7 linked regions of the Macaca mulatta genome follow. Each later gene encodes a partner of the first gene's protein in a complex. Links are inferred from orthologs where the notes say so. Each region holds a gene or a part of one and is shown in the gene's direction. Other genes may lie near its edges. The genes, in order: SF3B5, CWC27, SF3A2, PHF5A, CWC22, SF3A3 and DDX46.

Region 1 (2,330 bases):
AATAGTTGTTATACTGTATTGTTTAGGGAATAATAACCTTAAAAAGTCTACACTTCAGTACAGACTGACTTTTTCCCCAAATATTTTCAATCGGGTCGGTTGAATCCACAAAACCCACTGAATGGAAGGGCCAAGTAGGGTGCAGTGAGGCCTTGGAGGAAGGATATCAAAATAAGTGGCTAGAGGGGAAGGAGGAGCTTGAGGTGGAAGCCGGAATGTGTGGGAATTGGTGCTGTACTTGCTCACCAAGCACCCTGGTTAGAGCTGAAATAACTCTTTTATGCCACAGACTCCTAAAAGACATAGCTGGGACCAGAACTTGTGCCTGCCGACTTCTGGGTAATCCATCCCTGGTTGTGAAGGGATGGCTGTGCTACCATGATAGCTTTGGAAAACACGGAGAGTTTATTTTCGGGGCTGCTTGTAGTCCAGTCCTACTTGGGTTTCCCATTTCCCATCAGCCCCAAGCCACCCACGGATGCTCCCCACCTCCCAGACATCACCCTCCACTAGGTCCCCAGATCACTTTTAAAACGCGACCAGGGGCCTGGCGCAGTGGCTCACGCCTGTAATCCCAGAATTTTGGAAGACCGAGGAGGGAGGATCACGAAATCAGGAGTTCGAGATCAGCCAGGCAAAGACAGTGAAACCCCATCTCTACTAAAAATACAAAAAAAAAAAAAAAAAAAAAAATTGGCCTGGCGTGGTGGTGTGCGCCTGTAATCCCAGCTACTGGAGAGGCTGAGGCAGGAGAATCGCGTGAACCCAGGAGGCGTTAAGTTGCAGTGAATCGAGATCGCGCCATTACACTGCAGTCCCGGCAACAGTGCGAGTCTCTGTCTCAAACAACAAAACGAGACCAGGAGTTCCAGAAGACTACGAGCACGAACTCCCAAGACCACAAGTCCCAGCATGCAAGGCTCCCTGTTGGAAAAGGGCTTCCCATAGCCACCAAGTGGACCATCATGCAACGCTCTCTGACGGGGCGGGGCTCTCTACAGGGGCGACACACTTGTGGCGTCGCCTCGGCAACTCCAATTCCGTGACAGAATGTGCTTCCGCTTCCGCCTTTGAGCCCTATGAGCGAGACTTACGCTACTTAGTCGTCGTGACGCCATTCTTCTGCGACGGCGCGGGCCTGGAGCTTCCGCACGGTGGCCTCACTCCCGCGTGAAACGCCAGAGCGGCGGTTTGTTGTCTGCGTCCTCTGTCCTGGGAACTAAGGGGAAAGCGGCGAGATGACGGACCGCTACACCATCCACAGCCAGCTGGAGCACCTGCAGTCCAAGTACATCGGCACGGGCCACGCCGACACCACCAAGTGGGAGTGGCTGGTGAACCAACACCGCGACTCGTACTGCTCCTACATGGGCCACTTCGACCTTCTCAACTACTTCGCCATTGCAGAGAATGAGAGCAAAGCGCGAGTCCGCTTCAATTTGATGGAGAAGATGCTTCAGCCTTGTGGACCGCCAGCCGACAAGCCCGAGGAGAACTGAGACTCTGCCTTACCACCACTGTGCGGGGCACCTCTCCCAGTGTTCCTCAGGTTGGCCAATCCCTTCGACTATTTCTGCCTCCAAAGGACCGGCTCTCCATGGCTCCTGCGTCTGGTACTTCCGCGTACAGAAGTGCTTGCCCGGGGAATCCCGCCTGACCTGCCTTCATGTGAACCCTTTGGAATAGCACTGGGAGACCAGCAGAACTCCTGAGAACTGTGCTGGTGAAGAGGGCCTAGAGCCGGCAAGCGTTTGAGAAGAGGGCGTGGCGCTGGAATGAGATGGGATTTGGCGTCTCATTTTTGGCTAATTGATTGTCATTGGCTTTTTCCATAAAGTTTAGAAATCATTAAGTCTCTTGGTGTGAACTTCCTGTGTTAGGGTGGAGGGCTCCTGAAAGACCCGAGCGGGAAATGGGTCGGGGGAGGGAGTGCATGCCAGTGTCCATGATCAGGTACTTAAATCCACCCTGTCTACCATTATAATTAATTCCCCGACTGCCACTTCTCCCAAGAGCGTTATTTTCAGGCCCACAATGCCTTCAGTATTGAAGTTTGTAGTTATTGTATCCCATTTTCTTTTTCTCCCGTTTTAAAAGTCTTTGCAGTCTTTGCTGTCATTGTCCTCCTTAGCCTCTTTAAAATGCATCCTTTCTTTTTCTTGGGAATTTGTGGCCATGTCTCCAGAAATGACAAGCTGGCAAGTGAGTTCATCCTTTCTATATTCAACAAATATTTGTTGAGCTCTATGTGACAGGCATTTTCCCATGTTCTTGAGGCTTACATTATGCTGGTGGTGGAGAAAGGAGGTCAAACACTGTAGACGTAATAA
Region 2 (4,074 bases), on another chromosome or scaffold:
TACTGGGAAGGGCAGGTTTAAACAAAGTTAGGGCTCTGAACCATAGTAATTCTCAGAATCTTTTCTATTACTAAGGCGCACTGTGAATTTCCAAGTTGGGAGGTGGGGTGTAGGAGTGTATATTTCTGAAAATGTCTCCTGCAACCACTGTTCTGCAGTGGCAAAGCCAGTTTGAGGAGACGCTCTCAGCTACTAGAACTTCCAAGTAAGCTGGTAGTTGAGGAGAGAAAATCTTTTAAGTAATTATTCTGCAGAGTTCACCGTTTTTAGGTCAGTAACTTCTGGACACAGAATTTGAGAGTTAGAATAAATCTTATATATAATTCAACAAAGCTCCTTCTTTTTATAAGGAAACTGAGGCCCAGAAGCACAAAACGACCAATCTATGGCCACGGAGCAGCTACATACAACAGGAAGAGCTAGGAGTAGAACCGGGACACCCGGTGGGTCCTAGCGACTTCTAGGACAGACGACGCCTCTGGTTACCTGGGTCGGCCAAGTGTTCCCACTTCAAATTTTAGTTTTAAACCATACCACAGTTAAGGTAGTTTTTCTTGGCTGCTCGCCCCCTTAGGCCCACAGTTACAGTCTCCCCCTCCTCCCTCCCTTCCACAATACACTTTCCCTGTAATCCCATGCAGCTGGGGCTTGGCTCCTGGGGGAAGACAGTTACTTTCTTTCCTTCAGAGTGTATCTTTGGAGTGTAAACTTTTTCATGTAAACAAAACAAACCTGTGAATTTTAAGGCCTCCGCCTAAGTCCCCATGGGCACTGATCCCCACACCCCGCACCCTACCCTACCCTCCCTTGTGCTCCCTTCGGATCTCGGACGCAGAGGCCCTGTAACTGCTCCTTACCTGGGACTGCCATGACGATGGTAAGGGGTCACTTGAGCCTCCGGCTTTCGAAGTGGCGCTTGCTTCCCGCCAGCTGCGAGAACAAGGCACAGCCAAAGCGCCGTTTTCCTTCCCCCAGCGCAGCAGCACCTTCGCTACGGTGAGGAAGGCCCTGTACGTTTCTAGCGGCAGCAGAACCAGTAGACGCGGATGCAGTTTCCGGACGAGTCATAGTGCAGAAGACACATGGTCCGAACCATTACTGATAGTTTTTTTGGGGGGGGGGTCAGTTTGATCTGCACACGCGAGTAGTGTAAACACAGCCAAGACTTATGAAGTGTCCCTTCTAATATTGTAATACAAATTACATTAAGCTATAATAACTTTACAGACTTCTCTCGTTCCCTGGAGTACACTGGAATAACCCTTCTCAGGGTTAGCGGTGCTCGGGTCCGGTAACAACATGGCGGCGTCCGTGAGGGGCTCCTTTAGGCAAGGGCAGTGTTTGGTGTCCCCGTCTTGCGTGATATTGACAAACTGAAGTTTTCCTGCATCACTCGACTTAAGAAAGAGTGTACTCCTAGGCGGACAGCTTTAGTGACCGGCCGTCCGCTCTAATCCCTCATAAGGAGCAGAGTCCTTTGTACTGACCAGGATGAGCAACATCTACATCCAGGAGCCTCCCACGAATGGGAAGGTGAGAGCCTCATCTAGGGAACTTGGGGTCCTGGGATCTCCAAAGTGAGATTTCCCAAATTTGGGGTGGGGGACGGGTTTCGGGATCTCGTGGTAGGAAGAGACCACGATAAGTGTTGTCTTTACTCCTGCATGTGGACAATGTTGCGTCGAAACACTGAAGTTTATACTTTTCAGGACGTACTTGAAAAAGTCAGGTGGAGATTTCTCTACCTACCAGCATTCCGGTCCTATTTTCTGCTTTAACCCAGCTCATGCAACCGATTTCTAGAGTCTTAGGTTTTTAAACGTACATTTCTGAGTTTGGTATATTCTTTGCTTAACTTTGAGGTCATTCATTCTGCATTTCTTCTGCAATCATTAATTGAACGCCTGCTAGGCACTGGGCACTGTACTAGGCGCCGGAGATACAAAGATGGATGGGTAAGGTAGTTGTTTTCCCGGAAGAGCTTATAGTTTAGTTTGTGAGACAGGTAAACAAAAGCCTGTATGTCTGATAAGCGTGCTTGTGGAGAAGAGACCACGTTGCTATGGCGGTACTGAGTAGTGAACAACTGGGAAAGTTAGGAAAAACCTCATGGAAAAGGTATCTTTTGAGCTGATTTTAAAACCTGAGATGACTGTCAGTCAGAGAAAGTGGGAAATGGGGACTGTTACCACATTAGAGTGGGGAAAGGTTCCTCTAATTGATTTGATGGCTAATGTATGCCAATTCCCATCCAAGGTGTTTGTGTTGAAGAGTCCGTTGTGGAATAACTGTCACCTGAATTCTTAAATTGAGACCTAGCCTATCTCATATGAAATTTGATGAATCAGCATATTGGAGAAAATGAGATTTAAATTATATAGTTGAATTAAGATAAGCTAAATTTACACAACATACCATCCTGTTCGTTACATGATTACATCATAAATAATTTATGCAGTCTTTTATTCATTGACATTTGATAATATAATGAGAGCAATTTAAAAGCAAAACCAAAAATGCTGTAATTCCCAGCAAAAATTTAATGGGTATTTTGGGCAGCTCAATTCTTTCAATTCTTTGAACTTCTCCTGGGCATTGTAGGTTACTGGGTCCATCCCACCCCTCACCTATCTTATTTAATATCAATGTGAAAACCCAAAATACCTACCTCCTCCTATTTCCAAATGTTTCTTGAGGGCAGTATCACCCCCAGTTAATAAATACTGGTAGAGATTGAATAGATTTACCATACTGCCAGACAGGGCGTTCACACTTGCTGTTCCTCTATTTAATCAAGTGTTGACCTTAGCGAAGAGTCCTTTCTTACCTACTTTCTATGAAATAGCAAACTTCAATCATGCCTTGCATCCCAGCATTCTCTGGCCCCCTTAACTTTTTTAGTTTTTTTCCATGGTATTTATTAATTATTTGGTATTACTGTATCCTTCCTCCTACCTTCCCCCTATAGAATGCAAGGAACATCAGGGCAGAGACAAGCATCTAGAACAGTACTTGATACATGATAGAAGGAGTACAGTTATGTATTGAATAAACGAATGGATGGATGAATTAATACTATATTTTTCTTAGTTTTTTGAGGAATATTAAGCATCAGTGAGTTTGAGGTTACACTGCTGCTGGTCAAGGACAGACTTAATTGCTTTGTTGTAAAGGAAGATTTGACATGGTCACATAGATGAAAAGCTTTAACAAGGATATATTCCTGAATAGATTATTCATTCAACAAATAATGATTGAGCAAATCAATTGCCAGGCTCTATGCTAGGTTTTAGGGATACAACGGAAACAAAAAAAACCACATTGTCTGAGTTATCATGAGTTAATTGAGTGAAGTATACATTGACTGAATAATCATGCAAATAAATGTTTAACTACAAAATGTGATAAATACTGTCTTCTGAACAGAAATGGGCTGAATGATAACACAAGGGCCCAAGTTTTCATCCAAAAACAACTTGGGACTTTTTCCACCATAAGGCTCATCAAAGATATTAAAGCTTCTAAGTTCTGTAAGGTTGAGAGTGTGGACAAAAATTTGGTGTGTGAAGAATTTGAAGCAAATGTAATAAGTCTGTTCAATGAATGTTTATTGCCTTGACTATCTAATGGTACATTAGGTACTGAAAGGGTACAGAGACATTCAGAGTAAATGGGACAAAATTCCTCCCTTCAAAGTGCTTAGTATCAGCTTGGGAAGTAATTGATAATGATACCAGTGCTTGGTCCCTGGTTGTCCATAAATGTTCTGTGTTTTGCTGTAACCCTAGCCCCTGAAGATGAGGCAAAGAAATATAGTACTTGATAGAAATTTTTTAAGCATAAGAGGTAATTCCCTGAAGATGAAATTTCCACATATTATGATCACTTATTCTAAATTGTGTCTGGCGTCTTCACTTAGCATAATGTTGCTTTCAAATGATAGGGGTCTGTCTTATTGTTGTACATACTTAGTTTTTAAATGTATTGAAAATCAAAATGGCTTTATAAGTATATTTGCATATATATTTATAAGAAACATGATATTATCAAAGTATTAATTGGGAATTTTAAGAG
Region 3 (3,747 bases), on another chromosome or scaffold:
GAGCCCGATAAGCACCCGTCTCACCCAGCGGCCCCTTTCCCAGCTGAGCCACAGTCTGTGCCCTCCTGTCCGAGTGTTGTGGAAGCTTCTGGGGAGTCTTGCCAAGCCAAAGAGTGGAAGTGGAGGTGTGGTGAGCCCTGGCACACTCCTCCGGTTAACCTTGAAGCCTCTGAAGGAGGACAGGAAGAAGCGGCTGTTAGAGGCGGCTCCTCCGGGACCCTCAGCAGTGGGAATGGCAGGAGGTGACCTGGTTCAGAAAGCCAGGGAAGCGGCCAGGGTGGAAGAGACAGACCTTGTGTCTGTAGGGTCAGGAAGGCGGGCACGCTACCCAGCAAGTGTTTTTTTTTTTTTTTTTTTTGAGACAGAGTCTCGCTCTGTTGCCCAGGCTGGAGTGCAGTGGCGTGATCTCCACTCACTGCAAGCTCCACCTCCCGGGTTCACACCATTCTCCTGCCTCAGCCTCCCGAGTAGCTGGGACTACAGGCGCCCGCCACCTCGCCCGGTTAATTTTTGTATTTTTAGTAGAGACGGCGTTTCACCATGTTAGTCAGGATGATCTCGATCTCCTGACCTCGTGATCCACCCGTCTCGGCCTCCCACAGTGTTGGGATTACAGGCATGAGCCACCGCGCCCGGCCCCAGCAAATGTTCTTTACGGAAGATGGGGACAGCCTGTGTGCCTGGCCTCCAGACAGGAGCCTGCAGGGCACAGGCCCCGGGGCAGGTGTGCTGGGTGGACGAGGGTGGCTAGAGCGGCAGACTCCTGGTGGGGAGGCCCTGACAGGTCCTGAGCTTGGGCTCAGGGCAGTGAGGAGGTGGAGGGCTTGTGAGTGTGCGTGTCTGAGGCTGCTTGGAGAGTGGCCAGGCCGTAGGCGGCCCAGCAGCCATTCTCGGGGTCCAGGCTGCTGAGCTCTGGTGGGAAAGGCATCCTCTCCCGCTCACCCTATAGATGGTGTTGGCCCTGTTCAGGCGGCCCCACTCTAATCCCAGAGCCAGGGTGCCATGGGCCGCTCCCTACCCAGTGGCCCCGACTCCTGCTGGATAGTGTCCCAGCACCCTGGGTGAAGGGCTCTGGGGATTAGGACAAAGGAGTACCACCCTCGGTCCCTGCCCGAGTGACTCCGCAGGTAGCTCAGCCCTGGCGCACCTGTGCCTTCACCTATACCAGAGTCCCAGAGCCTGGGCGGATTGGCGGTTGCCTGGAGCCACAGGGCCTCCCCTGGGGTCTCGCCCTCGTTCAGTGGGTGGCATTAGCCTGCCCCAGGTCCCTCAGCTTTGGGGAGGACAAGCAGCCGGGACCTGAGAGCTTTCTGTGTTGCAGTGACCAAGCAGAGGGACTCGGAGATGGGCCAGCAGAGCCTCCTCTTCCAGGTGAGATCAGGGGCTTGGGTGTGGGGGGCGGCCGAAGGCACCTGAAAGGTGGCGCTGCCACCCGGCTGTGTCCCCACAGATCGACTACCCTGAGATCGCCGAGGGCATCATGCCACGCCACCGCTTCATGTCTGCGTACGAGCAGAGGATTGAGCCTCCGGACCGGCGCTGGCAGTACCTGCTCATGGCCGCTGAGCCCTATGAGACCATCGCCTTCAAGGTAGCATGGCTGCGGGGTCCCCTGGGCCCCAGGGCCCCCTGAGATGTGCGAGCCAGAAGGATCTGCACAGGCTGGGCAGGGCGCCCCTCCTATCAGGCTGTGGGGTCCCCTGGGATCCCCGAGACGGAGCCAGAAGGGTCTGTGCAGGCTGGGCAGGGTACCCCTCCCATTGGGCTTTGCAGGAGGGGGCCTGCTTGGGCTCCACTGTGCCCATGGAGAAGGGAGGCCGGCAGGGCTGAGCGCTGGGCCTGTGAGGCCTTCGCCAAGTGACCTCGCTTCTTGGTCTAGGCTGCTGGAGGGCTTCCCACAGCCTGTGCCTACGCCTGGACAAAGCAGCCATCAGGAAACAATACAAACGGTGCCTGTCCAGGGCGGGGGCCAGCGTGTGCTAGCGTGGAGGCCGGGTCTGTGTCACTCCAGAACTGAACCCTGTGCCCATCGAAAGTCTTACCAGGCCGGGGCCTTCTCTTGGGCTCCCAGGGTGGAGTCCGGGCCGGGGAGGCTAACGCCTCAGGCTCCCTGCCTGATGGCTACCCTGAGGTCACAGGGACCAGGAGCCCTCTCTGTCCCCCGCCTTCCCAGGTGCCGAGCAGAGAGATTGACAAGGCGGAGGGCAAGTTCTGGACACACTGGAACCGGGAGACCAAGCAGGTGAGTGGCTAGCCCTGAGCTTGGCTCCTTCCTGCCCAGCCCCGGTGGCCCTAGCCCTGCCCGTGCCTGCTGAACCTTTCTCCGTCTCTCTAGTTCTTCCTCCAGTTCCACTTTAAGATGGAGAAGCCCCCGGCTCCGCCCAGCCTCCCCGCCGGCCCCCCTGGGGTGAAGCGGCCTCCACCTCCGCTGATGAATGGTCTGCCCCCTCGGCCACCGCTGCCCGAGTCTTTGCCACCGCCACCGCCGGGAGGCCTACCTCTGCCACCCATGCCCCCCACGGGGCCTGCACCCTCAGGGCCCCCGGGACCACCCCAGCTACCCCCACCAGCTCCAGGGGTCCACCCCCCGGCCCCAGTGGTGCATCCCCCCACCTCTGGCGTCCATCCCCCAGCTCCTGGCGTCCATCCCCCAGCTCCTGGGGTCCATCCCCCAGCTCCTGGCGTCCATCCCCCAGCCCCTGGGGTCCACCCACCAACCTCTGGGGTCCACCCCCCGGCTCCCGGAGTCCACCCTCCAGCCCCCGGGGTTCACCCTCCAGCCCCCGGGGTTCACCCACCAGCCCCCGGAGTCCACCCACCAGCCCCGGGGGTCCATCCTCCCCCATCAGCGGGGGTTCACCCCCAGGCCCCAGGGGTACACCCAGCAGCCCCTGCTGTTCACCCTCAGGCCCCGGGGGTGCACCCACCAGCCCCAGGGATGCACCCTCAGGCCCCGGGAGTCCACCCCCAACCTCCCGGGGTCCATCCATCAGCTCCTGGGGTCCACCCTCAGCCTCCTGGAGTTCACCCCTCAAATCCTGGGGTACACCCCCCAACTCCCATGCCCCCAATGCTGAGGCCCCCACTCCCCTCCGAAGGCCCAGGGAACATACCTCCCCCTCCCCCAACCAACTGAGAAGCTGCTCCCTCCCCCAGCAAGCTCAGCGCCAGGTGCTCCTGCCTTTTGCCATCGAGAGAAGGCTGCTCTTTTGTACCGCCCCCTGCTCATTAAACAGCCTTCCCCAGCCCCGAGTGCACTGATGTCTGCAGCGCCGCCCTCCCTTGTCAGTGCTGTGTGGGAGTGCCAGGCACAGCACCATCCCTGAGTTTGCGCCGACTGGGGAGGGCCTGGGGCCTGCCGGGAGACACCTGTGGGAGGCCTGAGAGACAGCTGTACCTTGGAGGTGGCCTGGTGGAGGACAGACTCCACCAGCCAGCTAGGAGGGGGTCTGGGGTCCTGTCCTGGGGAGGGAAGAGCAGACTCTTGTGATATCCTTGGGGTCTCCAGATAGCCCACCAGGGGTTGGGAAGGTGAGCAGGGACAGGGCGCCCCCACTGACTTGGGACCCTCCTCCTCCAGGCCCACCCCTTAGCACCCAGGACATCTGGGCCCCCCGCCCCCAGCGCTGTCTAGTCTGGCTGCTTGGCCATCACTCCCAGCCTGGTTCCCACTCCTGTGCCTTCTGGGGACGGGCCCTCAAGGACAGCATGTTGACAAATCAGGCCCAGCTCTATCGCTGTGGGGAG
Region 4 (4,250 bases), on another chromosome or scaffold:
GTGAAAAAATCATCTGGCAGTCGGTCAGCTTTCTAGATAGCTCCTAACGGGGGAGTCAAGGTCAAACTGGAGTCTCCTTATCCTCCCATATTTGACAAGCAACTTACTGTGAGCTCAAAATATTCGTATTGCATTCTGACAAACAGAAATCATCGCACCCTGGTTCAGAAAGTTCTGTGAGGGCAGGCTGACATAAACAAGAACTCAGTGGTGGTAGGGCCCATGCTTCTGCCACAGCACTTCGGTGACACTCTAAGAACCAGAACTTCCACCTACTTTCTACCAGTTTTATCACCTATCAAATGAGAAAAATCATCTCATTCCTATGATTACATGAATCAAATAATATTATGAAGAATTAAAAAACAGTCCTCAAATCTTGTGCAAACGTGAGAGACTATTATTATTATTTACTACGTAGGGGCCCAGAAGACCACCTCCCCCCCTCGGGCATTCCATGTTCCGCAGGGTCCTCAAAAGGTGGTACAGGGTCCTAGTTTCTTCTCCAGACTCCAGGCCTGGCAACCGTAGATGCTGTCATGTCTCTGTTGCTAAGAGATGGGAAGTGAGGCCTCAGGAACTGGGCCTAGAAGGCTCAACAACGACCGCGCCCCCTAGTCACCTTGTCCTCACCTTGAGGAATGGAAAGACACCCCACGGGAGCAGGGAATGCTGTCCTCAAAAAGAAGAAAGAGGTGCCTCCGCTCTTCACCCGGCCGCCGCTGCTTGGGCCCACGCTTCTTGCGAGGCGGGGACAGGGCCAGGAAAGCTGACTGTGCCGGGGACGCCTTGACCTAGGGCACCAGAGGAGCGGACACGGGTGCCGGGCCCACAACCGGAACAGGTACACGAGAAGTTGGCCCCAGGTCGGGCCCGCCTCGCCCTGCCTCGCCCATAGCCGCCGGCACAGTAGAAGGCACCCCGCCCCCGTGAACCCAGAGGTCCCTGAGCTCGCTCACCTGCAGCCGAGTCACCAGTAGGCTGTAGGGCGCCATTTTGTGCACTGACAAAGATGAGGTCGCATGCAAGTGACGTCCCAAACGGCGCCTTTTAAAGCCTTTGGGCAGGGGCGTGCCCGGAAGAGTGGGGCGTCACGGTGAAGGCGAGGCCTCCCTAGGGGCACCAGAACCCTGGGAACGCAATGAGCGGAGCTCAAGAGTAATGAACAGACACGCAAGAGGAAATAGAACTGCCTAAAGACACTTGCAGAAGTAGATACCAAGCACAAATATGTTTTATCCAAGAACAAATTTTAGTTATCTCTGCCATCCAAATCTGGGAGTGTTTTTAAGACTTTCATGCACCTGCCAGGACCTGGCCACACAGCAGCGACAGAAACTCGCGCGAGAGCAAGAGGGGCCTGGTGCAAGGATCGTAAACTGACGGAAGCTTAGAGGACCAATCACAGCGACGTGGAGGCAGGAACAATGGGAAATAAAGGTCGGACGGAAGTTCCCGAAGCTTCCGGTGGCCGGCTTAATTGGGAGCTATGGCTAAACATCATCCTGATTTGATCTTTTGCCGCAAGCAGGCTGGTGTTGGTGAGACTGCGCCCTGCCCCTGTCTGTCTGGGTAGGGGTGGTATTAGGAGCTGGGGGGTCGGGGGTTCCCATCACTTCCTTAGTGGCTTGCCCAGCTGGCGCCACGTTTCCCGCCTCTCGGGCGCGGGGTGTTGTAGGAACGCACAGGTTTGTGGCCGCTGATGAGAAGAGGGCGGGGGTGCGCGTGCTGGGAGCCCCAGGCAGGTATCGGGGGTGGGGTCTGGGCCAGGTCCACAGAAACTCAGAGCTTGCCCCAGGACGTTGGAGGAGATTCAGAAGGGTGGTTGGGCTGTGGGTTTGGTTCATTTGGAAATTTGTAATGATAAAATGGCTATCCGCAGGTATCACTGCAGTCCGTACTCATTTCCCTACCCCCAGCTCCAGGATGTACTTCCCGTTTGTCAAAACCTTTATTCTAATTGTACTTTTTAACCATCTTTCATCTTGCAGCCATCGGAAGACTGTGTGAAAAATGTGAGTGGAACCTTCCGTCCCAACAGCCCACCCTTCCCACTCCCAGTTTCTGTGGAACCAGCAAAAGTGCCACAAAGAGGGCTTTGAGTAGATGTGCCTGGAAGTATGTGAACACTGAATGCTGGACTTCAACCAAAGGCCCCTCTGTCTCCCCACTGCCACTTGCACATTTAACGCTGTATCTCTCTAGTTTTCAACAGGAAAAATTGCCAGAGTAGCATGACCCCTCCCTAATACACAGCACTTTGCCGCCAATTATATAGGCTTATCATCTCTGAGGTGATTTTCTAGGCTCTTTACATATGTTAATTGATAAACTTTTGTATATGTTGAGGGACTTGAGATGGATACTGGGTAAACCAAGTTTCGTGATGCCAAGAGGAGGGTCCTAAAGTCACTGTCAAAAGGAGACTAGTGTATTTCCCCATGGCAGGAGATAGCAGAGGACTGAAGAACTTGTTGTGAGTATGACTCCATTCTCTTCCTTACAGGTGATGGCAAGTGTGTGATTTGTGACTCCTATGTGCGTCCCTGCACTCTGGTGCGCATATGTGATGAGTGTAACTATGGATCTTACCAGGGACGCTGTGTGATCTGTGGAGGCCCTGGGGTCTCTGATGCGTATTATTGTAAGGAGTGCACCATCCAGGAGAAGGATGTAAGTGTACAGCTTTCCATCTGACCTTTCCTGCTTTTGTTTCCTGCTTTTTTGCCATCCACTGCAATCTCCTATGGTCTATGGAGATTACTGTGTTCATCTAGTCATCTAGGTTATAATTTTTTCAAGTTCTGTGAGTCAAACTGGGTGTAGTTCAATAAAAGGCAGTTATTTTGCATCAAGGGGAAAAATGCAAGGGAAGCAAATCTTTGTCAAGACCAGCAATTTGAAGAGCCCTCTCTCTATTCATGTTTCTCTGTGATTATTTTTATTCAGAAATGACATCCGGCTGGGCGTGGTGGCTCACACCTGTAATCTCAGCACTTTGGGAGTCCAAGTTAATGAGGATCACTTTAGTCCAGGAGTTCAAGACTAGCCTGGGTCACAGAGCAAGATCCCATCTCAAAAACAACAACAAAAAACAATTTGGTTTTTTGGTTTTGTTTTGTTTTTTTGTTTTCCTTTTTTTTGAGACAGGGTCTCTTGCTCTGTGGCCCAGGCTGGGGTGCAGTGGCATGATCACGTGCAAGGCTCACTGCAGCCTTGACTCCCCCGGGCTCAAACGATCCTCCCACCTCATCCTCCCAAGTAGCTGGGACTGCAGGCATGCGCCACCACACCTGGCTAATTTTTTTTTGTAGAGACAGGGTCTTGTCTTGTTGCCTAGGTTGGTCTCAAACTCCTGGGCTCAAGTGATCCTCCTGCCTTAGCCTCACCAGGTGCTGGGATTACAGGCATGAACCATCACTCCTGGCCAGAAAAACATATTTTTCATTAGTCGGGTGTGCTGGTGTGTACCTGTGGTCCCAGCTACTTGGGAAACTGAGGCGGGTGGAGGATCACTTGGGCCCAGGAGGTCAAGGCTACAGTGAGCCATTTTCATGCCACTGCACTCCAGCCTGGGTGACAGAGACCCTGTCTGTTTATAAGGCCTGTACAGCCCATGTTGTGTCATAGCCACTCATTAATGTCTCAGATCTATCATTAAGCACTATTCGGGTGTATATCGTGACAAAGTTGAATTTGGGACGATTCAAGTTGACTTCAGCTTTAAGCAGGTAACAAGTACCTTTGGTTTAATATTGCAGAAGTGATTGTGGCCCTGCATCATGACTTTTTTTTTGTCCCTTGACACTGCGTAGTGGCAGTGGTTACTTACTATTCAACTATCTGAGCCAAATGCCAGGAGAGAGAGCTTATAGACCAGTGCTACAGGCAAGGTTTACCCCATTTCTTTCGTTTAGTATTGGCAGCAGGGATTTTGTGGGGGAAAACTATGAATCAGCATGTTTTCTTCAAAAAACAAAACAAAAGGAAGTATGATACAGTCTCACTAGGTTAATGATAGTACCCAGTTATCTAATTTATTTATTTATTTGTTTTTTATTTTTTGAGACGGAGTTCACTCTTGTTGCCCAGGCTGGAGTGCAGTGGCACAATCTCGGCTCACCGCAACCTCCGCCTCCCGGGTTCAAGCAATTCTCCTGCCTCAGCCTCCCGGGTAGCTGGGATTACAGGCATGCGCCACCACGCCCAGCCCATTTTGTACTTTTAGTAGAGACGGGGTTTCTCCATGT
Region 5 (4,186 bases), on another chromosome or scaffold:
TTGACAACAAACAGTTGTCAACAGTTTGGCAACACCCTCACAGACACACCCAGGATCAATACTTTGCATCCTTCAATCCAATCAAGTTGATATTCAGAATTAACCATCACAGATAGTATTGTGGGTTTTTAAATATATAAATACAAATGTTCATCTCCAGATCCATCTCCTGTGCCCTGTATTGGTACACCAAAGTGCACCATCAACAATGGCCAAATATCTTAAATATGAAATAAAATAGATAACACTATTGTATACTAGCAATTATCTTAAACGTATCTTGTGAATCAACTAATTCAATTCTTACAACTACTGCATGAATGGGTACTACTAGTATTTCCATTTAACAGATCAGGAAACGGCCACAGAATGTGAAGTTACTTGCCCCAATCATCCATAAATAATCAAAGGACTCAAGATTCAAACGTAAGTAGTCCAACTGCAGTGTTTTTATTCTTAATTCTCACACTTTGCCTCCAGAAAGGAGTGGAAGCACAGCACCCTAAAACTGTAATAGAGAAGTGTGTGGAGAAATCAGGCCTGGTTTATGAAAGATTTGATAACATAAAGATATTCTTGTTTTAGAAAGAGAGTTTCCAAAATAGTAAGTAGTTGAACTTTTACGTTTTGTTACTAGTGAAAAGTGAAGTTTAAAGAAACAATTTGTTTGATGCCCTAGTTCTGTATGCTGTACAAACTGCTACTTCCTACTCAGCCAGGCAATCTCCTTATTCTCAGGTCATACCAGTTGGTACCTTAACTTAAAAGACAGGCAACATAGTCTCTACAGAATTATTTTTTCCTCATTATTTCACTCTATTTATGATCTAATATTCTCCCATTCTCTTGGCTTGGATGTCTTGGAATTTATTAGGCACTTGACTCTTGGTCAAACTCTTATAAAAAAAAGTCTCAAGAAAATCTCTCACTTAAGATTTTCAAGGAAAGTGACAACTGACTACTAAAAAAAAAAAAAAATTCCCAAAATGCAGTGAAATACTTTTAGATTAAAGTAAATTTGCCTAGACCCTAAACACTGCTAGGCTGCCAGTCAGCAGCGTGGATGTTAACTCGCTGGCGCGCATCTGTATGAACTACAATTCCCATCGTACACCGCGCCATTTCACCGCTAAACTACAATTATGCTTTCGTCATTTCCGTCAGCACAGGTGCTGGATTTCGGACTTTGTAGTTCATGCCAACTTCTTTTTAGTCGCCATTTTGATAAGAATACAGTGTGCCTGGATCGACTGCTTTGACTCTGGCATTATGATATGGTATCTGAAATAAATTAAAAGGATAACGCGTCAAGCCAATTGAGCGTCAAGTTTTTATGTATTTCAGTATCTGCCTTGTTCCTACTGTCGGTGCTCGGGAAGAGGAAGTGACGTACATCCGGTGTAATGGCGGCGCGGTGCAGCTTTAGGTAATTATCGAACTCCGCGGAGTCCCCGTAGGCACCGAAGCGGAGCGGGGGTGGCGGGTTGCCGGGTTGGGTGGGAAGTGAAAGACCCTGAGGAGTGGGTGCGGGCTCACTGATACGGCTGTGAGCGGCATTGGAGTGTGCGTGGGTCTTCCCGCCACGCTCGGGCCCGCGAGAGGGGTGTGAGAGTGGCTGGGTCCGAGGAGTCCAAGCGGGTGGGGAGCGAATGGGCTGCGGTGAACTGACTGACTGCCTGAGCGGACCGGCTGACCTTCCTTGTGAGGTTCCTGCAGCTGTCTGAAGTCCTGCACCAACGCTGGTGCTCTGTTGTTTCGTGTGCAGTGTGTTTTATACTTAGAGCCTCTGGAGTCCATTGGGCTTGCCAAAGCCCCTTTCCCAGTGCCTGGGGAGTGGGATTAATGAGCTCTAGTTGATTAAAAGTTAGTTGAAGTACTTGCACTCTTATGCCTCTTTCCGGCGTTATATCCCTTTGGCTATTTGTTTTACGTTTCATTAGCGGTTTCTTTTTCATTTATTTGCCCTGTAAATACTGATAGTTTCTGGAGTTTAGTTTTGAAGACGCTTCGCTTCTCTTGTGTCCTCTTCACCTGTCATTCTTGATCCTTACATAACTTGAACTATCTCCAATGAGGTAATAACTGCTAAACTTGGGTGTCCAGACTCCACCTCTCTAAGGAGCTTTGGGTCCTGTAACACAGCATTATAGAACGGAAATATAATCGTTAATTTCACTGAGTTTAACTGCAAAAACTACCATACCTATTTCCACTTAATCCTAACAATTCTTTTGAGGTAATTGGAGAAGGCAGGATTTGGAGAAAGGCTATTCTAGATGCAAGAATTAGGTAAGAGTTTCCTTTGCATTTTTGGATGTGCAGAGACTCGAAATAGCAGATAAACAAATTGGGTCCTCAGCAGATCAGTTATCCTACCTCTTATCCGTATTTAGACTTATCTTCTTGTAGGATTGCTTGTGAATTCAGGAGTTAACACAGATTATCCTACTATGCAAGGGCAGATTTAAAATTGACATTAAAAGTGTGGTTTTGACCAGGAGAGGAGAAGCCTTGTTACAGGCCTTATCAGTAGGTTGAGGAAAGCTACTTTTGTTGGTCCTGGGTGATGGACTAGTAGACCAAAGATTTCAGTTTTATTTAGCTATTATTAGGTCTGTCACTTGGAGCAAGTTAAAGTCTCTATTATATATAGTCAGCTTCATCATCTGAAAACATGTAGGTAATAATACAATACCTGCCTCACTGTGTTGTCTTTTTTTGAGTATAAAGAAAATAATGCAGATGAGGCACTGAGCACAGTGCCTGATATACAGTGTTAGCTTTGTATTATTGTAAATTGCTACTATGATACAGTTGATGAGTTCTGTCTGTGCCTCAGTTCTTGCCCTCTGGGTCTGAGTGTTGCCTTTCCACCTTTAAGTGTCCTTCCAGGTTTTTTTTTTTTTTTTTGAGACGGAGTCTCACTCTGTCGCCCAGGCTGGAGTGCAGTGGCGGATCTTGGCTCGCTGCAAGCTCCGCCTTTCGAGTTCACACCATTCTCCTGCCTCAGGCTCCCGAGTAGCTGGGACTACAGGCGCCAGCCACTACGCCCTGCTAATTTTTTTTATTTTTAGTAGAGACGGGGTTTCACCATGTTAGCCAGGATGGTGTCTATCTCCTGACCTCGTGATCCACCCACCTCAGCCTCCCAAAGTGCTGGGATTACAGGGTGAGCCGCTGCGCTCGGCCAGTGCCCTTCTAGTTTTAAGTGTCCATGCCACTTTTATGGAGTCTTACCCAACTCAATTGACTGGGGCTCTGAGACCGTCTTGGTTATAAGTTAAAGGCCAAGAACTTTGATCTAATACCCTGGTCTAGTGGTTCCAAAAATGTGGTCTCCTGAATCAGCAACATCTCTTTGAAGCTTATTAGCAATGTAAATTACTGGGCTTCACCCAGTTCTGTTGAATCAGAAACGTAGAAATGCAGGCCCAACAGTTTTTTTTTTTTTTTTTTTTTTTTTTTTTTTTTTTTGCGCCAAAGCATTCGAGTGATTCTCATGCCAGTTAGTTTGAAAACTTCTGCTCTAGCCCATCTTTTAGGGGCATGCTATGGTTCATCCTCCCCCTGTCCTCAGAATCAGGTTTGTTTCCCTCCTTGCTCCAAAGTACTTGATCCATGGCCAGCCAGTATTTATTATTATGCCACCACATCCTTCCCTGCTTTGGATAGATTACCTCCAATCACTTTTTGGAGTTCTGACACTTCCTAGACTACCTGGTTTTTCTAAGCGAGCTTTCTTAGCTCTATTAGCTTTCCCAGCTGTTGAATTTTTAGAAGTTAATTCTTCTGTTGGGGCGCGATGGCTCATGCCTGCATTCCCAGCACTTTGGGAGGCCACGGCAGGCGGATCACTTGAGATCAGCAGTTCGAGACCAGCCTGGCCAACATGGTGAAACCCTGTCTCTACTAAAAATACAAAAATATGTAGCAGGGTGTGGTGCTGTGCATTTGTAGCCCCAGCTACTCGGGTGGCTGAGGCAGGAGAATCACTTGAACCTGGAGGCGGAGGTTGCGGTGAGCCGAGATCACTCCACTGCACTCCAGCTTGGGTGATAAAGTGAGCCTCTGTCTCAAGAAAAAGAAGAAGAAAAAGAAAAGAAGTTAACTCTCCTTCCCCATGATTGAACATTGTTGAATGACCTACAGTGGCTTGTACCTGAGACCACCCAGAAGACAGCACGGT
Region 6 (3,500 bases), on another chromosome or scaffold:
GGTCCGCTTGGTGCAGAGCTGAGTTCAATTCCTGGATATCCTTGTTAACTTTCTGTCTTGTTGATCTGTCTAATGTTGACAGTGGGGTGTTAAAGTCTCCCATTATTATTGTATGAGAGTCTAAGTCTCTTCGTAGGTCTCTAAGGACTTGCTTTATGAATCTGGGTGCTCCTGTATTGGGTGCATTTTTTTTTTTTTTTTTTTTTTGAGATGGAGTCTCACTGTGTTGCCCAGGCTGGAGTGTAGTGGTGGTATCATAGCTCACTGCATCCTCAAACTCCTGGGCTCAAGCAGTCCTCCTAACTCAGCCTCCTGAATAGCTGGGACCACAGGTGCACACCTCCATGCCTAGCCAATTTGTAAATGTTTTGTAGAGATGGGATCCCCCTGTGTTGCCCAGGCTGATGTCAAACTCCTGGCCTCAAGTGATTCTCCCACCCCAGCCTCCAAAAGTGATGGGATTACAGGCTTGAGCCACCACACCCAGCCAGGAAATATTTTAGAGTCAGAATAGATGAGACTGTTTTCTGTTGTTCTACAATAGCCTCAGATGAGTAATCAGGCAAGTAATGTAAAACCTTTTACTCTTTGCTTTGGGTTCAGGTAGAGCCTGCTGATAAGGAGTTCTGATATGAAGGCAAGATTTTCCTTTATTCTATAAGAAAGAACCTTATCTTTGGAAGTAAGGGGTCAGCAAAAGTTGTAGGAAAACAGGAAATTTCCCTTCTTATTCTGCACTAGTTTTTTCTGACTTTTCATTTATGGACCTGCCTTAGGAACAGCGACATCTCACTCATGAAAATGTACAGCGCAAGCAAGCCAGGACAGGAGAAGAGCGAGAAGAGGAGGAAGAAGAGCAGATCAGTGAGAGTGAGAGTGAAGATGAAGAGAACGAGATCATTTACAACCCCAAAAACCTGCCACTTGGCTGGGATGGCAAAGTAAGTCTCAGAACTACCACTTTCTCCCCATTCCCTATTTTGGAAACAGATACAGAGTTTAGTAGGCTAACACTACTTCTTGTTTTTTTTTTTTTTCTTTTTTCTTTTTTAGCCTATTCCCTACTGGCTGTATAAACTTCATGGCCTAAATATCAACTACAACTGTGAGATTTGTGGAAACTACACCTACCGAGGACCCAAAGCCTTCCAGCGACACTTTGCTGTAAGGAATTCAGAGCCATTTTTTCTGGGAATTGAAGTAAAAACATGAGACTTTTAGAGAAAGAGAGTAGAAGTAGCCTATGTGGACCTCTGGTGTCCAGAGCCGAAGGGAATCAGAGAAGGATGGTTTTAAAATCAAGCCCATGGTGTTTGACTTTTGGCACCAATGTTAGTCTTAAATACCTGAGATAGTTTCTGGAGGAATTCTACCACTCTGCTCTTTAAACCTTACTTGGTTTTCTCTTGCCTGCTCTTAACGCTTCTCTGTTTTTGTCGTTCTGCTAGCATTTTAGACCAACTTCTGACTTCTTGGTTATTTCTCTACCCCATTACTAATACTCAAGATCAAGAATAGGACTTACCTCTTTCAGATCATAAATGGATCTTTGCCTCTTGAGAAAAAAAAAAAAAATTAAGGGGCTGATCTTTATCAAACCATTCTTGAGACAAGGTATTGTCCAGGTGGTACTGCTGTAAGTGGGCTCATCTCTAAGTGGGCTCTACTTTTAGTTCTTAGATTTTGGAAGGACATTTTACAGAATGGAAAAGATTTATGCTAGACCAAGGATGACAAATTTATATGAACTCCTCTCCCCCTCTCTGAGTCATACATATTACTAATTGATCCTGGGTCTTTTTTGCTGAGCCCATGAGTGAGTTCTGAATCCTTCCTAGCACCTCCTACAATGATTGGAGTTGGCATCCAGATAAAGCCTGTGCCATTTACCATCCCTTAGCTAAAACTGCCATCATGTCAGTGTATAATCTCCCTGCTCTCTCCTCCCCACATCGTTGTGCCTGATAAAAGTCTTCTCCTTTACCTACAAAGATGATGCTGACCTGCCATTAGTAACCCTATTCATGCAGGTGTTTGGAGTTGCTGGGGCTTTGGTGAGTTCTCCCGCAATATGGGAGATGTAGTTAGAGTTGTGATATTTTCCTGTGATCTTGACCCAGAGGTTTTATGTGTAAGACTACTGGGTCTGGAATGTAGGTTTACAAGCCAACCCAGTGAGGCAAACAATGCGATGTGTCTTTGAAATACCAGCCTTTTGTCAGTCACAGCCAGCGGTTTACAAACATGAAACACAAAAGGAATGCTGCCTTTCGGTGGAGTCTTGTAAAGGGCCACGTTAGGATTTATGAGTAGAATGGAGTTAGTGCTCTGTGTGTTCAGCTATTCCCATTTCACATGATCCTTTTGCTTCTCTCTTCTCCCAGGAATGGCGTCACGCTCATGGCATGAGGTGTTTGGGCATCCCAAACACTGCTCACTTTGCTAATGTGACACAGATTGAAGATGCTGTCTCCTGTAAGTAACATTTATTTACTGTCTCCTAGGCCAGTACAAATGGCCTGTCCTCCTTCGAGTCAGCATCCTGATACCTTGTGTATCCAGGATTAAAGGCAGTAGGTTGTGGATATGTAAAATCTGAGACAGTTGTATTATTATTGCATTTCTGTTTTTTGTTTTGTGGTTGTTTTTTTTTGTTTTTTGTTTTTTTGTTTTTTTTTTGGGATGGACAGAGTCTCGCTCTGTCGCCAGGCTGGGGTGCAATGGCGTGATCTCAGCTCACTGCAACCTCCGCCTCCTGGGTGCGAGCGATTCTCCTGCCTCAGCCTCCCGAGTAGCTGGGACTACAGGCACGCGCCACTGTGCCTGGCTAATTTTTTTTTTCTGAGATGGAGTCTCACTCTGTCACCCAGGCTGGAGTGCAGTGGCACGATCTCAGCTCACTGCAAGCTCCGTCTCCTGGGTTCATGCCATTCTCCCGCCTCTGCATCCCAGTAGCTGATACTACAGGCGCCCGCCACCACGCCTGGCTAATTTTTTGTATTTTTAGGAGAGATGGGGTTTCATAGTGTTAGCCAGGATGGTCTCGATCTCCTGACCTCGTGATCTGCCCGCCTTGGCCTCCCAAAGTGCTGAGATTACAGGCGTGAGCCACCACGCCCAGCCTTTGTTTTGTTTCTGAGACAGAGTCTTGTTCTGTCGCCAGGCTGGAGTACAGTGGTGCAATCTTGGCTCCTGCAACCTCCGTCTCCTGGGCTCAAGCAATTCTCCTGCCTCAGCCTCCCTAGTGCCTGGGATTACAGGCAAGCGCCACCACGCCCAGCTAATTTTTCTATTTTTAGTAGAGATGGGCTTTCACCATGTTGGCCAGGCTGGTGTCGAACTCCTGACCTCAAGTGATCTACCCACGTTGGCCTCCCAAAGTGCTGGGATAACAGGCGTGAGCCACCGCACCTAATTATTGCTTTTTTTTTTTTTTTTTTTTTTTTTTTTTTTGAGATGGAGTTCGCTCATATTGCCCAGGCTGGAGTGTGATGGTGCGA
Region 7 (3,500 bases), on another chromosome or scaffold:
CATGGTGAAACCCCGTCTCTACTGAAAAAAAAAAAAAAAGAGTTAGCCAGGTGTGGTGGTGCATGCCTGTAATCCCAGCTACTTGGGGAGGCTGAGGCAGGAGAATCACTTGAACCCCGTGGGGGTGGAGTTGCGGTGAGCAGAGATTGTGCCATTCATTGCACTCTAACCTGGGCAACAAAAGCAAAATTCTGTCTCAAAAAAAAAAAAAAAAATTAGCCGGCATGTTGGTGCATACCTGTATTCCCAGCCGCTCGGGAGACTGAGGCAGGATACTTGCTTGAACCCGGGAAGCAGAGGTGCAGTGAGCCGAGATGGTGCCACCGTACTCCAGCCTGGGCGACAGATCAGGACTCCATCTCGTAACAGAAAAATAGAAAGTAATCTTCTGTACACACCACACCCAGCCAATTAAAAACAGCTTTTCATAGAGATGGGGGTCTTAACTGTGTTGCTAGTGGCCTCCCAAAAGGTTGGGACTACGGGTATGAGATACCATACCTTGCCCAGTTTCTCATTAAAATAGGAAAGGAAGACAAGGTTGTGTTGTGAGTGGATCACAGAAAGAATTTAACTTCATCCTTTTCAGACATTGGAGTACATTGGTATTACATAGGATTCAAGGAAAAAATTCTCACGTGACAATGTGGGTAGTGCTAACTAATTCATTTTCACATTTTGTGGTCCTAGTACAATTTCACACAATTCAAGTACTTAAGTGAAAATGGTTATTTTAACATTTGGTCTTTGACTTTTTGGTGTGAAAGTAGAATCATAAGATTTTAGAGCAGGCCGGGCGCGGTGGCTCAAGCCTGTAATCCCAGCACTTTGGGAGGCCGAGATGGGCGGATCACGAGGTCGGGAGATCGAGACCATCCTGGTTAACACGGTGAAACCCCGTCTCTACTAAAAAACACAAAAAACTAGCCGGGCGAGGTGGCGGGCGCCTGTAGTCCCAGCTACTCGGGAGGCTGAGGCAGGAGAATGGCGTGAACCCGGGAGGCGGAGCTTGCAGTGAGCTGAGATCTGGCCACTGCACTCCAGCCTGGGTGACAGAGCGAGACTCCATCTCAAAAAAAAAAAAAAAAAGATTTTAGAGCAAGAAGGATTTCAAAGATGTCAAGTGAAGTCTCCATATTTTATAGATGATGAAACTGAGACCCAGAAAGTTGGAGATCTGACCTGTATCATGTCATTAGTTACCAGGAGTAGCTGGTAGGATAGAAATTCTTGCCTCTTCATCTTCAGATCAGTGATCTTTTAGTAGCCCCATTATGCCCATCCTTATACTTAGGTTTAGGCTATCTGAAACTAGATATTCTATCTTAGACCATCAATTTTAAATCGATGTTAATTACAGATTTATTATGTTTTTTCACAAACATCTTTATGAAATTAGTATTCTCTGGCCTGGCATGGTGGCTCATGCCTGTAATCCCAGCACTTGGGGAGGCTGAGGCAGGCAGATCACCTGATGGGAGTTCGAGACCAGCCTGACCAACATAGAGAAAGCCCATCTCTAAAAATACAAAATTGGCTGGACATGGTGGCACATGCCTGTAATCTACTCAGGAGGCTGAGGCAGGAGAATCGCTTTAACCCAGGAGACAGAGGTTGTGGCGAGCCGAGATCGTGCCATTGCACTCCAGCCTGGGCAACAAGAGTGAAACTCTGTCTCCAAAAAAAAAAAAAAAAAAAATTAGCCTGGCATGGTGGTGCAGATCTGTAATCCCAGCTGCTGGGGAGACTGAGGCAGGAGAATCACTTGAACCTGGAAGGCAGAGGTTGCAGTGAGCTGCAATTGTGCCACTGCACTCCAGCCTGGGTGACAGAACTGAGACATTGTCTAAAAAAAAAAAAAATTAGTATTCTCATTTCTTTCATTGAGCACTTGTAAGACCTGGCTTTACTTCATTGAGATCTCTGCCTTTAATGATGGTAGTAATTAAGATTCTTTCAATGTGGGACAGAATCCTGATTTGAAATAGTAACTCCATTTGGTCATAGAATAAATGAAAAGTGTTCCCCTTTCAGACGTTCCAGAAGTAGAGAGAGAGACAGAAGCCGAGAGCGAAGAAGATCTCGAAGTAGAGACAGGAGACGCTCAAGGAGTAGAAGCCGGGGCCGGCGATCCCGATCCTCCAGTCCTGGCAATAAAAGCAAGAAAATTGAGAATAGGTAATGTTATCATTGGGCTCCATCTATAATGCATATTGGGGACTGCTTCCCTTCTCTGCGCCTTTCTTTTTTTTCCTTTAAATTTATTTTTGTAGAGAATTAACTGTATTTGGCTCCTACCATGAACTGTTGGCAATGTTTTATTTTAATCGGTTATAATGTTTGTAATTCAGCTGGAAAATACTAGATTCTGTCAGTTTTAACAGTCAATACATTGTATTCTTATTTAATACATACTATTGATCGGAAATGTATTTTACAGACATCTTTGTAGAAACTCTGTCATTTTCTTTTCAGACAAGGTCTCACTCTGTTGCCCAGGCTGGAGTGAAGTGGCAAGAACATAGCTCACTAACCTCAAACTTGTAGACTCAAGCGATCCTCTCACCTAGGCCTCCAAAAGTCCTGGGATTATAGGTGTGAGCCACTCTGCCCATTCTGGAAGTTCTATTTCAGTTAAAAACAAAATATAAATTCAGAAAAAGTGAGCAAAATATAAACATACAGTTTATTAGGATTGGGTGCGGTGGCTCATGCCTGTAATCCCAGCACTTGGGGAGGTCGAGGCAGGCAGATCACAAGATCAGGAGGTCGAGACCAGGCTGGCCAACATGGTAAAACCCCATCTCTACTAAAAATAAAAAAATCAGCTGGGCATGGTGGCACGTGCCTGTAATCCCAGCTACTTGGGAGGCTGAGGTGGGAGAAATGCTTGAACCAGGAGGCGGAGGTTTCAGTGAGCTGAGATGATGGCACCATTGCACTCCAGCTCTGGGCAACAGAGTGAGACTCTGTCTCAGAAAAAAAAAAAAAAAAAAAAACATGTAGTTTATTAAGTAATTATAAAACAAATATCATATGCCCACCATCAAAGTCAAGAAATAAAACATTGTCAGTATCCCGTAAGTCCTCCATTTATCTTCTCTGACCTAACTCTCTACCTGCTAGGTGAAACCACTGCTGACTTTTGTGCTAGTAATTTTCTTCATTTCCTTATAGTTTTACAACTGCGTTTGCATCTGGAAAAAAAATTTAGATTTATGTTTTCTTTTTATCTTTACATGAATGGAGTCATGTGTTCATATGTGTCTTTGCTCAACATTGTTTGAGATTCACATGTTACAGCAGTAGTTCATTTTCGTTGCTGAGTAGTATTCTGTGGTATAAATATCCCATAATTTATCCATTCTGCTGAAAATGGATGTTTGTTTTAACCTTTGGGCTATTAGCTTTTGTGTGTGTATCTCTTGGTATATATGCACATAACTTTTTCCTAGTGTGCATTTCTAGAAGTGAAAGTGCTTGGTTGTAGAATAAACATA

The links.
Region 2: SF3B5 (region 1) and CWC27 share a complex: the UniProt entries of both Homo sapiens proteins name them as parts of the minor spliceosome. The link is inferred for Macaca mulatta from reciprocal best matches to the Homo sapiens genes SF3B5 and CWC27.
Region 3: SF3B5 (region 1) and SF3A2 share a complex: the UniProt entries of both Homo sapiens proteins name them as parts of the 17S U2 SnRNP complex. The link is inferred for Macaca mulatta from reciprocal best matches to the Homo sapiens genes SF3B5 and SF3A2.
Region 4: the proteins of SF3B5 (region 1) and PHF5A are in contact, whole or in part, in a cryo-EM structure (PDB 7EVN), measured with the Homo sapiens proteins. The link is inferred for Macaca mulatta from reciprocal best matches to the Homo sapiens genes SF3B5 and PHF5A. Residues at the interface, in NP_112577.1 of Homo sapiens: Arg4, Tyr5, Thr6, Ile7, Gln10, Leu14; in NP_116147.1 of Homo sapiens: Pro6, Asp7, Leu8, Ile9, Phe10, Cys11, Arg12, Ile88, Leu91.
Region 5: SF3B5 (region 1) and CWC22 share a complex: the UniProt entries of both Homo sapiens proteins name them as parts of the minor spliceosome. The link is inferred for Macaca mulatta from reciprocal best matches to the Homo sapiens genes SF3B5 and CWC22.
Region 6: SF3B5 (region 1) and SF3A3 share a complex: the UniProt entries of both Homo sapiens proteins name them as parts of the 17S U2 SnRNP complex. The link is inferred for Macaca mulatta from reciprocal best matches to the Homo sapiens genes SF3B5 and SF3A3.
Region 7: SF3B5 (region 1) and DDX46 share a complex: the UniProt entries of both Homo sapiens proteins name them as parts of the 17S U2 SnRNP complex. The link is inferred for Macaca mulatta from reciprocal best matches to the Homo sapiens genes SF3B5 and DDX46.

The regions. Positions count from the first base shown.
Region 1 is NC_133409.1:49,348,244-49,350,573, reverse strand, and holds SF3B5 (splicing factor 3B subunit 5), read left to right. Parts: upstream 1-1,137; 5' UTR 1,138-1,238; coding exon 1,239-1,499; 3' UTR 1,500-1,830; downstream 1,831-2,330. UniProt on the Homo sapiens protein: Component of the 17S U2 SnRNP complex of the spliceosome, a large ribonucleoprotein complex that removes introns from transcribed pre-mRNAs.
Region 2 is NC_133411.1:72,813,327-72,817,400, forward strand, and holds the start of CWC27 (spliceosome-associated protein CWC27 homolog), read left to right. Parts: upstream 1-1,274; 5' UTR 1,275-1,491; coding exon 1,492-1,533; intron 1,534-4,074. UniProt on the Homo sapiens protein: As part of the spliceosome, plays a role in pre-mRNA splicing. Probable inactive PPIase with no peptidyl-prolyl cis-trans isomerase activity. As a component of the minor spliceosome, involved in the splicing of U12-type introns in pre-mRNAs.
Region 3 is NC_133424.1:2,994,037-2,997,783, forward strand, and holds the end of SF3A2 (splicing factor 3A subunit 2), read left to right. Parts: intron 1-1,321; coding exon 1,322-1,371; intron 1,372-1,450; coding exon 1,451-1,591; intron 1,592-2,173; coding exon 2,174-2,242; intron 2,243-2,335; coding exon 2,336-3,136; 3' UTR 3,137-3,247; downstream 3,248-3,747. UniProt on the Homo sapiens protein: Component of the 17S U2 SnRNP complex of the spliceosome, a large ribonucleoprotein complex that removes introns from transcribed pre-mRNAs.
Region 4 is NC_133415.1:10,036,557-10,040,806, forward strand, and holds the start of PHF5A (PHD finger-like domain-containing protein 5A), read left to right. Parts: upstream 1-1,450; 5' UTR 1,451-1,489; coding exon 1,490-1,541; intron 1,542-1,991; coding exon 1,992-2,015; intron 2,016-2,506; coding exon 2,507-2,673; intron 2,674-4,250. Other genes in the region: ACO2 (aconitate hydratase, mitochondrial), read right to left, coding at 960-995.
Region 5 is NC_133417.1:84,939,753-84,943,938, reverse strand, and holds the start of CWC22 (pre-mRNA-splicing factor CWC22 homolog), read left to right. Parts: upstream 1-1,386; 5' UTR 1,387-1,426; intron 1,427-4,186. UniProt on the Homo sapiens protein: Required for pre-mRNA splicing as component of the spliceosome. As a component of the minor spliceosome, involved in the splicing of U12-type introns in pre-mRNAs. Promotes exon-junction complex (EJC) assembly.
Region 6 is NC_133406.1:202,826,384-202,829,883, forward strand, and holds part of SF3A3 (splicing factor 3A subunit 3), read left to right. Parts: intron 1-776; coding exon 777-941; intron 942-1,053; coding exon 1,054-1,164; intron 1,165-2,384; coding exon 2,385-2,475; intron 2,476-3,500. UniProt on the Homo sapiens protein: Component of the 17S U2 SnRNP complex of the spliceosome, a large ribonucleoprotein complex that removes introns from transcribed pre-mRNAs.
Region 7 is NC_133411.1:143,681,062-143,684,561, forward strand, and holds part of DDX46 (probable ATP-dependent RNA helicase DDX46), read left to right. Parts: intron 1-2,034; coding exon 2,035-2,178; intron 2,179-3,500. UniProt on the Homo sapiens protein: Component of the 17S U2 SnRNP complex of the spliceosome, a large ribonucleoprotein complex that removes introns from transcribed pre-mRNAs.